Linked DNA regions of Nothobranchius furzeri. The protein of the gene in region 3 interacts with the protein of the main gene of each other region in a pairwise test. Links are inferred from orthologs where the notes say so. Each region holds a gene or a part of one and is shown on either strand. Other genes may lie near its edges.

Evidence for each region.
Region 1: the proteins of rufy1 (region 3) and ras-related protein Rab-39B interact in binary tests that used the Homo sapiens proteins (3 or more experiments, as listed by UniProt). The two-hybrid records come from large-scale screens. The link is inferred for Nothobranchius furzeri from reciprocal best matches to the Homo sapiens genes RUFY1 and RAB39B.
Region 2: the proteins of rufy1 (region 3) and rab3ip interact in binary tests that used the Homo sapiens proteins (3 or more experiments, as listed by UniProt). The two-hybrid records come from large-scale screens. The link is inferred for Nothobranchius furzeri from reciprocal best matches to the Homo sapiens genes RUFY1 and RAB3IP.

Annotation. Positions count from the first base shown.
Region 1 is NC_091742.1:80,053,555-80,057,311, forward strand, and holds the start of ras-related protein Rab-39B, read left to right. Parts: upstream 1-1,139; 5' UTR 1,140-1,374; intron 1,375-1,451; 5' UTR 1,452-2,055; intron 2,056-3,757. UniProt on the Homo sapiens protein: The small GTPases Rab are key regulators of intracellular membrane trafficking, from the formation of transport vesicles to their fusion with membranes.
Region 2 is NC_091741.1:38,168,765-38,172,421, forward strand, and holds part of rab3ip (rab-3A-interacting protein), read left to right. Parts: intron 1-1,474; coding exon 1,475-1,687; intron 1,688-1,761; coding exon 1,762-1,890; intron 1,891-2,145; coding exon 2,146-2,372; intron 2,373-2,522; coding exon 2,523-2,622; intron 2,623-2,885; coding exon 2,886-2,955; intron 2,956-3,657. UniProt on the Homo sapiens protein: Guanine nucleotide exchange factor (GEF) which may activate RAB8A and RAB8B. Promotes the exchange of GDP to GTP, converting inactive GDP-bound Rab proteins into their active GTP-bound form.
Region 3 is NC_091741.1:103,293,953-103,297,709, forward strand, and holds the start of rufy1 (RUN and FYVE domain-containing protein 1), read left to right. Parts: upstream 1-1,311; 5' UTR 1,312-1,542; coding exon 1,543-1,861; intron 1,862-3,757. UniProt on the Homo sapiens protein: Activating adapter involved in cargo sorting from early/recycling endosomes. Regulates retrieval of proteins from endosomes to the trans-Golgi network through interaction with the dynein-dynactin complex.

The DNA.
Region 1 (3,757 bases), on a different chromosome or scaffold from region 3:
AATCTTTTACTTGCTCACATTTTCTAAACACTTCAAAAATATGTTGGCCAATGTTTCAGATCAATATGTCATGCAGGGCAAACAGCAATGACCTCATTTAATCCACCCACCTGTCAACATATTTTATTAATTTAGTTAAACATCTAATCTTAGCTTGAGATGTTATTTTTAAGAAAAATGTTTTAAATATCAAAACTTTTCATCAACATTTCATTCAACAGACTGTTAAAATGATATGAAAAAGGCAAAAATATTTTGATGCTTCTGAATGACCAGTTTATTTCTGTTTTAAAGTGATTCTTTTTTTTCCAAAACACACACACACACACACAGTGGAGTACATTTGTTTTTTTTTTAATAATAAATGACTGCAAAGTAACATACAAGAGGCCACAAGTATAGCATTTTTTTACACACAAACCTTTCCTGGGTACAATTTTTTTATTTACTTATTTTCCCCCTTTCATTTTTGTCCTATTTGTCATATTTATTTGATCATCTGTAAGTCTGAAAGCTATTTTTCAGATGGGCAGTTTGTGTAATTTCAAGAGGCGTCTCTTTATGGGGGGAGGCTGGGGTTAAACAAAGGCCACACCAAACCATCAATTTTCTCATGCATTTTCTCCATGCAGGGTCACGGGGGGCTGGTGCCTATCTCCAGCAGTCAACGGGCAAACAAGTGGGGTACATGGACAGATTGCCAGTCCATCGCAGGGCAACACAGAGACACACAGGACAAACAACCATGCACACACACACATCTAAGGATAATTTAGACAGACCAATTAACGTGACAGTCATGTTTTTGGACTGTGGGAGGAAGCTGGAGAACCTACACACACACACAGGAAAAACATGCAAACTCCATGCAGAAAGATCCCAGGCTGGGATGAGATCTCAAGACCTTCCTGCTGCAAGGCAACAGCGCTAACCACTGCTCCACCAAACCAATAACTTTTAATTAACGCAAAAATAAATAATTTTTTATTATTATTTGTCAAACACATAAACTCACAATAGGAGTTTTTTTAGGCCATTAAACAACTTAACACGTTTTTTCTGCTTGCATGTATATAAGACTACAATTCCCGCTGGCAATAGCGCGAACGGTGACCACTTCCGCGACTGCGCACTGCAGCTACAGCTCAGGGACAGATTGTGCAACTTCCTGGCTGTTGTTCGACTCTCCTAAGAAAAATAAACGCTTCAAACACGTTTAAAAGCGTTCAGATTTTAAACTCGTTGTTGGATAACATGTTTATTTAGAATGTCATCCACTGTGAGGCTTATTGTAGCAAGTTTAAGAGGCTAAATATTAGCCACGTGATCTAGCTACATTTGCACTGTCACTGCTGATATGTCGAGAGTTTTATGGTCAGAAAACAAACATATCATTTGTCTGTTTATGTGACGCTGGATAACATATAAACACGTCTGTGTATTTTTTTTAGCTCCGTTTCGCAGTTAAGGAAGTGTTCGGAGTTTCTCGTTGCGGCCGTGCTCGCTCCTTTACGGTAGTAGTGGTACTGATGCGGGATGAGTCAGGCTATATGATGCTGCTCCTCCCGCTGCCATTTCATCAGCAGCCAAAAGCTACAAACACTCAGCAAACACAGAAGTGATACGGTGGGATTCCCCCTCCTTTCTCCACGTCCGACGGGTCCAGGCAGAAACAGCTGCCGAAAAGAAGAACAACGGACTCGGGAAGCACGTGAGAGTGAAATCCGGTGTGTTTTTAAAGCTGCACCTGCTCTGAATGCGTTTTTTCTTCAGCGGGCCTGGCACTGGGACACAATTAGCCCTTGACTCCGGGGCCCTGCTTTGGCTACATCTGTTTTGTGTTCGAGTTTCAGGTTAAACATCGAGTGTTTTGCTTTTATCGTTTATTTTTTGACGCCGTGATCTCGCTGCACCCCGAGCATCGATCCAGCCAGACTAGTCGGAGCCATGGAGCCGGCCTCATCCAGGTCCTGATCGGCGTAAAGAAGAGCAACAACCAGGGCCTAAAGCGAAGTCCTCTCTTGCTTTAAACAGGCTCCGTCTCCTCACAATCAGGTCTGTCTTCTAATACTAACCTTTCAATCGGTTCAGCAGCACACGAGTTAACTTTGTCAACCATTTTCAAAGATTAAATTACCGTACTTGGACTAGTTAATGAAAAAGTGTTTTAACTGATAGTTAATCATCAACAGGACCGTGGATTTTGGGAAATGTTGCTGTTAAAATCACCTTTGATTCACTAAACGCACGATCATCTAAAAACAAACAAACATTGTTTACTCAAATATGTGGCAAGCCGTTATAGGACATAATTATACCACACTTCTATTTTAAAAATGATAGACTTCTTAATAATTAGAATAATAATTATAATTCATGTAAAATTACTTTCCAGCATGTAAACATTAATCCTCAGTTAGTACGTCAATATGTTTTTTAAACTCTGATATGTCACTATTATTATTATTTTTTGTTCAACGTTAAACCATAAGCACATAGTATTAGTTGGTGAAGCGTCTTGTCCTGGTTCCATTGATCAAAAATGTGTAAAAATACACTGCTTACTTGTACTGCCATATTGTATTTGTAGACCCGGCACACACTCAGAACAGCCGACCTACTGACACTCACTCCCCAAAACCACAGCGCTTTTAAAGCGTCACATCACGACTAACTGTGTTGAAAAAATTCATATTAAAAATCTGGTAGCACGTTTTCCCGCATTCCTCCATAAATATTAACCGTGATTTTGTAGAGTTTTGTAATGACAATGTTGCCCATCATTAATTAAATCCTGATGTTAAGCGGTACATAATGTAATAGACACGTTTTATTTCCACGCTCCCTTGCCACAGGTAGCAATTAAGATGCAAAATGGCTGCAAAAGCGTTCCACACATCTGGTTTTGCGAGGTCACAAAATCACCAGATAATTCTGCAGTTCAGGTGGTTAAGTTAAAGTCCCATTAGTCATCATCACACACTGGTGAAATTACATCTCTGCTTTTGACCCATCCCCGTGGGGAGCGGTGAGCTGCAGCTGTGGCTAGGGCTGCTCGATTATGGCAAAAATAATAATCACGATTATGGTGACTGAAATTGAGATCTCGATTATTTAGGACGATTTTTCAATTTATGTTGATTTTATTTGTTTTTATTCAGTCATAAAATTGCTCAGGGCACAATCAGGACAAAAATAAATAAGAAACAAGATGATCACTAAAATAACTCCTGATTCCCAGTAAAAAAAGACCAATATACTTGTAGCTCATAGTCTATGACCCAAGGGCTATAGACCTTGGTTTAACTCATTCAAGTCTAACCAGTACAGACCCAAATACCAATATCTTGCAAATACTGACAGCAAGAATTATACAGTGGCATTTATAACAAATAAATGCAAAAAAATTGATGTTCACAAAATGTTGCATAACATTTATTGAGTCGTGTCAATGTGCTGTAGGAGAGTACACTAGCACCGTGTCCTCAGAGAGATTAGTTATTTATCAGCGTGAGGAAGTTATTTCTACCTTATTTATAAACTATTTATTTACAAGTCGTCCATCAGTTAATGTAATAATTGTCCCAACCACAGCTGCACCCCCCACCCGGTCTCACAGCAATTGGGGCAAGCTGTACGTGTGTTTAGCGCACCGCACATTTAGCCGTTTTTAGTGGCTCAGGAGTCCGCAGGTGCGGTGTGTGTGTCACTCACTTTGGTTACTCCAACAGGGAGCCGGCTCCGAGAGCTGTTTCTT
Region 2 (3,657 bases), about 65 Mb from region 3:
ACACACACATCTAATATCTGTTGTGAGGTCTGCACACATGCACATACACTCGTGCAGTCACACACACACGTACACACAGACACCCACTTACATACACGCATACACGCACACACGTGGGGCGACGGTGGCACAGGAGTTAAGAGCTCGCCCAGTAATCGGAAGGCTGCAGGTTCGAGTCCTGCTCAGTCTGTCGCTGTCGTTGTGTCCTTGGGCAAGACACTTAACCCACGTTGCCTGCTGGTGGTGGTCAGAGGGACCGGTGGCGTCAGTGCTCGGCAGCCTCGCCTCTGTCAGTGCGCCCCAGAGCAGCTGTAGCTACGTTGTAGCTCATCCCCACCAGCGTGTGAATGTGTGTGTGAATGGGTGAATGACCGATTGTGTTGTAAAGCGCCTTGGGGGGTTCCAGGACTCTAGAAGGCGCTATATCAAATACAGGTCATTTATCATTTACATAAAGACACACACACACACACACACACACACACACACACACACACACACACACACACACACACACACACACACACACACACACACACACACACACACACACACACTCATCTAGTATCTGTTGTGAGGACTGTATTTGACTTCCATTCATTTTAGTGACTGGATTGTACCCTAACCCGTAACCCAAACTAGACCTAACGAGTAGAGCTCTGCAACATTGTCCCAAAGTGAGGATCAGCAAAATGTCCTCAGTTTGGTACTAATTGATTAAAAAATGAATGGATTCTTGCTTTGAAGGCCAATAACAGTAATTAACATTTCTCACCTGTTGATTCTGGTTTATGTCAGAAACATGAATAATATAATGTTTGAGTTTCAGGTTGATTAAGCTGGTCCTGCTGGCCGATTCCGATCAGCACCAACTTTAGTTTATTTCAACATTTTAGCGTTGACAAAAAAACGTTTGTTGACCTAAATTAGAAGAAATCACAGATGTTTACTTTTCTTGTCTGAGTCTCAGAAGCGTTGCCGTCGTCTTTCTGCAGCGTTTGTATCGATCCGCTCGTGTTTCTACAGCTGATGTCCATCTGTAAAATCTACGAGTCTCGTGTATTTGAACGTAGTTTTTGCAGCATGTTAAACTTTCCTTCCTGGATCAGAATAAAGCTTAATCTGCTAAAAATAAACTGAAACCTTTCAGGTTAATAAACTTGACAGCCAAAATAAAAAGAGATGAACCCAAAAACCTGTGATGAGAATCGGCTCAAAAGACCTGAAATATCAGGTTTTTGTTCAAATGCACCCGGGTTTTGGAGTCCTCGTCTCCGAACCCTCGCCCCTAAATCGTGCCGTGGACGTTTTTCCTTCCGGAATCAGACGTTTAAAACAAGAATTCTGTTGATCCTGGCTCTTTGGGACAAATCAGAAATCGGTCTCAAAACCAGTATCGGTGCATTTGTGACATGAAGGCAAACCACTTGTTACTGTATTAGGTCTGATACTGTTGGTGATCTCCTGTCATCAGATTGACGTCCTCCAGGCTGAGGTCCAGGCCCTGAAGACACTGGTGCTGTCCTCCCCCACCTCCCCCGTGGCTGACCTCCCCTCTGCAGTGGGGGGAGGAGTTAAAACTCCCTTTAAAAAGGGCCACAGCCGGAACAAGAGCACATCCTCCGCCATTCTGGGGACACAGCCCGACCCGTCGGCCACGCAGCCCATCGTCCGGGAGTGTCGGGAGGTGGGCGTGTCTCCGGCAGTCCTCCTCAGGCAGACGGCTCGGTGCGGACTAATCTCTGGTGTTTACTGTCGCAGGTGGACAGTCAGCTGTTCAGTGAGTTCAAAGTGTGGAAGGAGGAGCCGACGCTGGAGCGGAGCTGCAGCTTCCTGGACAGAGTTTACCGTGAAGACATCTACCCCTGCCTCGCCTTCAACAAGAGCGAGGTACGGAACGTCCTCATCGGGCTTCCCGCCCAGATCAGAACAACCCTGAGACCAGCAGATAGACGTACTTAAGTCCTTTACTTAGAAACAGGATGTATTTCTTCTTCTTGAACGGTGTACGGCAGACTGCCCTGTTGACTGGTTTCCATGGCGACGTGCGGCTCTGATTGGTCCCAGCGCTTTCCAGTTACTGTAGACACTGCCTCGGGACCCGGGGACTTTAGTCTGAGTCTTCTTTCTCTTCCTCTTCCTCAGCTGGGCTCGGCCATCCTGGAGGCCGTGGAGCAGAACACGCTCAGCGTGGAGCCGGTGGGTTTCCAGCCGCTGCCCGTGGTCAAAGCGTCGGCGGTGGAGTGTGGAGGACCAAAGTTAGAACCTACACACTCTCTCTCTCTCTCTCTCTCTCTCTCTTCCCTCCATCATCACGTTTCCATCTTCCCTTTAATTTCCTCCTTTAGTGGACGAAGAGCCGAGCTCGTCACGTAAGTCCGACGTTCAATAATCCTCGACCTGCCTGGCTTTTCCTAACTCCCCTTCAGCTCCTCCTCCTCCTCCTCCTCAGGAAGCACCATCCTCACCTCCTTTACTCCTCTCCCTCCGCTGTTGGAACTAAACTTTTGTCTCGTTGACAGAAAATGTGCCCTGAGCGGTCAGACCAAAACCTGTAAGCACAGAATCAAGTTTGGAGACTCGTCCAGCTATTACTACGTGTCTCCGTTCTGCAGATACAGAGTGAGTGGGTCTCGCAAACATCTGGACGACGAGTCCAGATGTTCACACCATCGGTCGGGGAGATGGAGCTAAAAAAGAAACGCAAAATAGTTCAACCGATGTCTGCTCGTGTCGAGACGTTTACTGACTACGGGATAAAAGCTCGGCGTTTCTATTCCAGTTTAGAACTTAGTCAGCTCTGATTGGCTAGAAGGGTGATGATGTCATCGTCTAACAGGAGTTTTAGACAAACTGATGCAGGTTTTTGATTCTTTTATCTTTAGATCACAGCCGTGTGCAACTTCTTCACTTACATCCGTTACATCCACCAAGGACTCGTCAAGCAGCAGGATGGTGAGATGTACACACACACACACACACACACACACACACACACACACACACACACACACACACACACACGCTCATGTTCCCTCACTCACACGTTAGATGGGTCAGACCCGGTTTTAGGGGTGCAACAGATCATCACTGATGGATCTTTCTGCGGTTCGGCACGCACACGGTTTGCGGGTCGGCCACGTGGAGGACGGTGGGCTGCCTGCTGAGTCCAACGGAGAGACGCACACCGGTGGCCATGACGGAGGAGAGGAGCTTGAAAAACCACCTGCGTCCTTTAGATCACGTGTATGGGAGCATTTTGTCTCCACTGTAAAATACGACGACGATACGAACGGTGAAAATGATCCCGCGCCTCCAGTCTTAACGGCACCGCGCCGCACACACACCTCCGATCGCTGTGGAAGGATGGAGGGGTGGTGTGTGAAACATGCCTTGGACATAACAAACATGGCCGGACCTGTGATTGTTGTTGGGGACGACTCTGTAAAAGAGGGCAAAAGAAAAGTAAACGACATCCGAAAGGTGAGGAGAGGAGTGAAAGCTGGACACGAAGGGAGAGCGTGCCTAATGGGGCAAGCCGTTTTAACATTTAATCAGTAATCAGACCTCTCTGTAATTCCTGCTCAGTGTTGGGAGTAACGCCGTTTAAATATAACGGCGTTACTAACGGCGTTCTGTTTTAGGTAACGGAATAAT
Region 3 (3,757 bases):
AGATGCCATTGACTCTTAAGTTACTGAAATTAAATTATTGGGCTAGTGTTCAAGGTAGTGAAGAGGATGAGCATATGGTTACGGGAGAGATGAAAGTAGGAGGGCAATGTTTGTATGGCAAGTATGAGAGTATGGTCTGGAAATCGTATAAATTGGCGGAAGCCTTTAAATTAAATGATAAAGTTGTTATTAAGAAATGTCTATATTCGCCTACTCCGTTTTGGTTATTTCCAAAAGTAATAATAGATTTTCATATTCAAAATGAAATTAAAATACGGAAAGGTGTGGGAAACTGGGATGATGTTGTGGAAGAAAGGTTAAATGACACATCAAGCATTCATCCCTATTTATACTGACGGGTCGAGAGAGTCAGGAAATATAACGGGATTTTCTTTCTGGATTCCAAAATTAGGTATATATCATAAAAGTTGAACATCTAATAATCTGTCAGTATATACAGTGGAAATGTTAGCCATTTCATTTAGTTTCCAGTGGATAGAACAAAATGGTGTTGGGAATAGTATTATTTGCTCGGACTCCATGTCTGTATTGTTATCAATTAAAGAAATGTCAGCTGATAAGAGGTCAGATATTTTGTATGAGATATTTGAGTGCTTGTTTAGGTTGATGAAGACTAATTCAGAGGTTAGATTTATGTGGGTTCCAGCCCACAGTGGAGTAGAGGGTAATGAAAAGGCTGATTATCATGCAAAGCAGGCAAGAAAACTGGATACTATGATGGAGGTTCTATATAGTGTTGCAGAGGTGAAATCAGTTATTAGACAGCAGATTCTGGATGAATGGCAAGAACAATGGATAAGGGATGTGAAAGGAAGACATTTATACAAATTAAAGGGAAAGGTTGGAAGAATGGAAGTCATTCCAATGAGTAACAGAAATCAAGCAGTGATAACAAGGATGAGAATGGGACATACAGCTTTGAACAGTACGCTTTTTATTCTTGGACGGCATAATACCGGTATGTGTGAATGTGGACGTGATAGGGAAACAGTAGAACATGCATTATGTACTTGTAGAAAATATGTGGGGAATAGGAAAATGTTAGTTGAAAAATTAAAAGTTAAAGGATATAAGAAATATGATTTGAATATTCTGTTAAATGGGGACTAGTGGTTTATAAGTTAGTCACAGACTTTTAAGGAAAAGTGGAATACTTAATAGAATTTAGTTTTTTTTTTGTAGGATACTCCCCACTTCAACTCACACTCCCATTCAGTAGGTGGCGGACATGCACCTGAGAGTTGGTTGCCACCCACCAATTAAACGACAAAAGAGGAAGAAGGTTGAAGGAGGCGGTGTGTGTTTGTTGGGGAAGTGGAGTGAGAGAGTTTATTCGTTTCGTTTAGTTGTTCTTAAACAATACATGCATACATTAGATTAACGTTTTAATATTCTGAAATTTTGCGCCCTGTCCGGCAAATAGCGCCTGCAGGCGAGGCGCTGCTCATCTCGAACAAGCCTGTGTACGGCAGGAGGACTGGTCACTCGAGTTCATGTTCGAAAAGGGAGGCGGAGTCAAACATGGCTGACGAAATATTGGTGATAAACACAGCTGTTGAGGACCACGAAGAAAACCAACACTTAGATGGGGCTGAAGTTTCAGGTCCGGCGGCTCACGGCAGCAACGGTGGGAACTCTGGCGAGAACACGACTCCGTCTGCGGAGGAGAGCAGCTGGTCAGCTCCTATCTTGTCTCTGGCTAGGAAGGCCACGGAGACGATTAGCAGTGGGATGAGCTACGCTACTGCCCCTAGAAAATCATCTCAGGGGTCCGCTACAGGTTCTCCATCGAAGAAAGGGTCCGAAAACTACCTGAACCACTCATCTTTAAACCATACGGGTATGACTCTTTAAATAACAATGAGATCCGACTAAACTAAGTTTCAGTGAGCAGTTACTTCCTCTTGCACTATAGTCAGCTGTCTAAAAACATGACACATACATAGGTGTGTGTGTGTGTGTGTGTGTGTGTGTGTGTGTTTGTGTGTGTGTGTGTGCGTATATATATATATATATATATATATATATATATATATATATACACACACACAGATGTGTGTATATATACATAGATGCGTGTATATACACATGTATATGTTTATATATACACGTATATGTGTATATATACACGTATACATGTGTATATACACATATATATACATGTGTGTATGTATATATATATATATATATACATGTGTGTATGTATATATATATATATATATATATATATATATATATATATATATATAGTGTATTAGGGTTGTCACGGTGTGAAAATTTAACCTCATGGTTGATGTGACCAAAATTATCACGGTTTTCGGTGTGATTGCGGTATTTTTTAAACAGTGTTGCATATGTTCAGAAAGCATTGATAGTCCTGTTCTACACAAACTGAAATAGCTTTGAAAAGGTTTAACAGTGTTTATTAAAGCTAAAATAACACAAAGCCTTAGCAAAAGTGCAACTTTTCACAAGTAAAGGAACAAATAGCTTATTTTTCTGGAACATGTTACAGTAGTCAGTGCAGGTTTAAATTATACAAATCCAAACATTCAAAACATAAACAATATGTAAACAAATCAAAGAAACACCACTTGTCTTCTCATATGCTTGTTTTCTTCATTATCAAAATAAGAATCTAAGGCCCTGTCCACACGTAGCCGGGATCTGCCAAAACGTAGATATTTTTCTACGTTTTGGCCTGTCATCCACACGAAAACGGATCTTTATAAAAACTCCGGCCAAAGTGAAGATCTGCGTTTTCTCCGTTTTGGGTGTCTGCGTGTGGACAGACAAAACCGGAGTTTTAAGGTCTGCAACGTCACTCTCCACGACAAAAAAATGATGACGTCACGTGTGCGACCTGTGTTTACACTAGCCAACAGCATGGAAGCCTTCAGAGCTGCACTCGCTTTATCAATTGTCCAAGTGCTTTTTGCTTGTTTGTTATTGCAAGCGGAATTACTGCTCCTTGCGGAAGACCACAGACGAAGGATGAGGTTAAGAACGGGGGAGGTACTGCCGCCTACAGGTCTGGCATGTCCTAAACAACATATTTATCCGGGTACGTGTGGACAGAGTTTTTTTTTTTAAAACGTGGTGGTGTGGATGCAAGTTTTTGGAGGGGCGGATATTCGTTTTTAAAAAACCCTGGCTACGTGTAGACTAGGCCTAAAACTCCAGTCCACACTTGACGTGAGCACTGTACAAGTCAACCTTAAAAAAATATGTGTTTAAAATAAATAGCCACTTTAAACAAATTACTAAAATAACTACTACACTATGTAATCAAATCCAAATGTTCAAGTATAAATGGCATTGAAAAAAAGTAAACAAGTCAATGGCTAGGAAGTAATTGTATATTTCTCTTCATCATCAACAAATAAGATGCTTCATCCAGCATCATGACTGTCAGCAAGCATGACCATTTATTTCAGGTTGAAATGCAAAAATGTCAACATATTAACCTTGTCTGGTTTAAGATGTGATCTAAGAGAGGAAAGAATATACCCGCTGGCACTGAATATTCCCTCTGATGGAACACTAGTTGCTGGAATACACAAAAGCTTTTTTGCCTGCCTGGTAAGATGAGGCAGCTCTGATGCATGGCCCCTCCACCACACCAGTGGATCATCATCAGCTAGAATGGATGGCAGAGACATGTAGACTTTGACTTCCTCCTTCACTTTATCTTCTGGGGTGGCTGGACCTGAACCCTCTTCAGATCGCTGCTGCC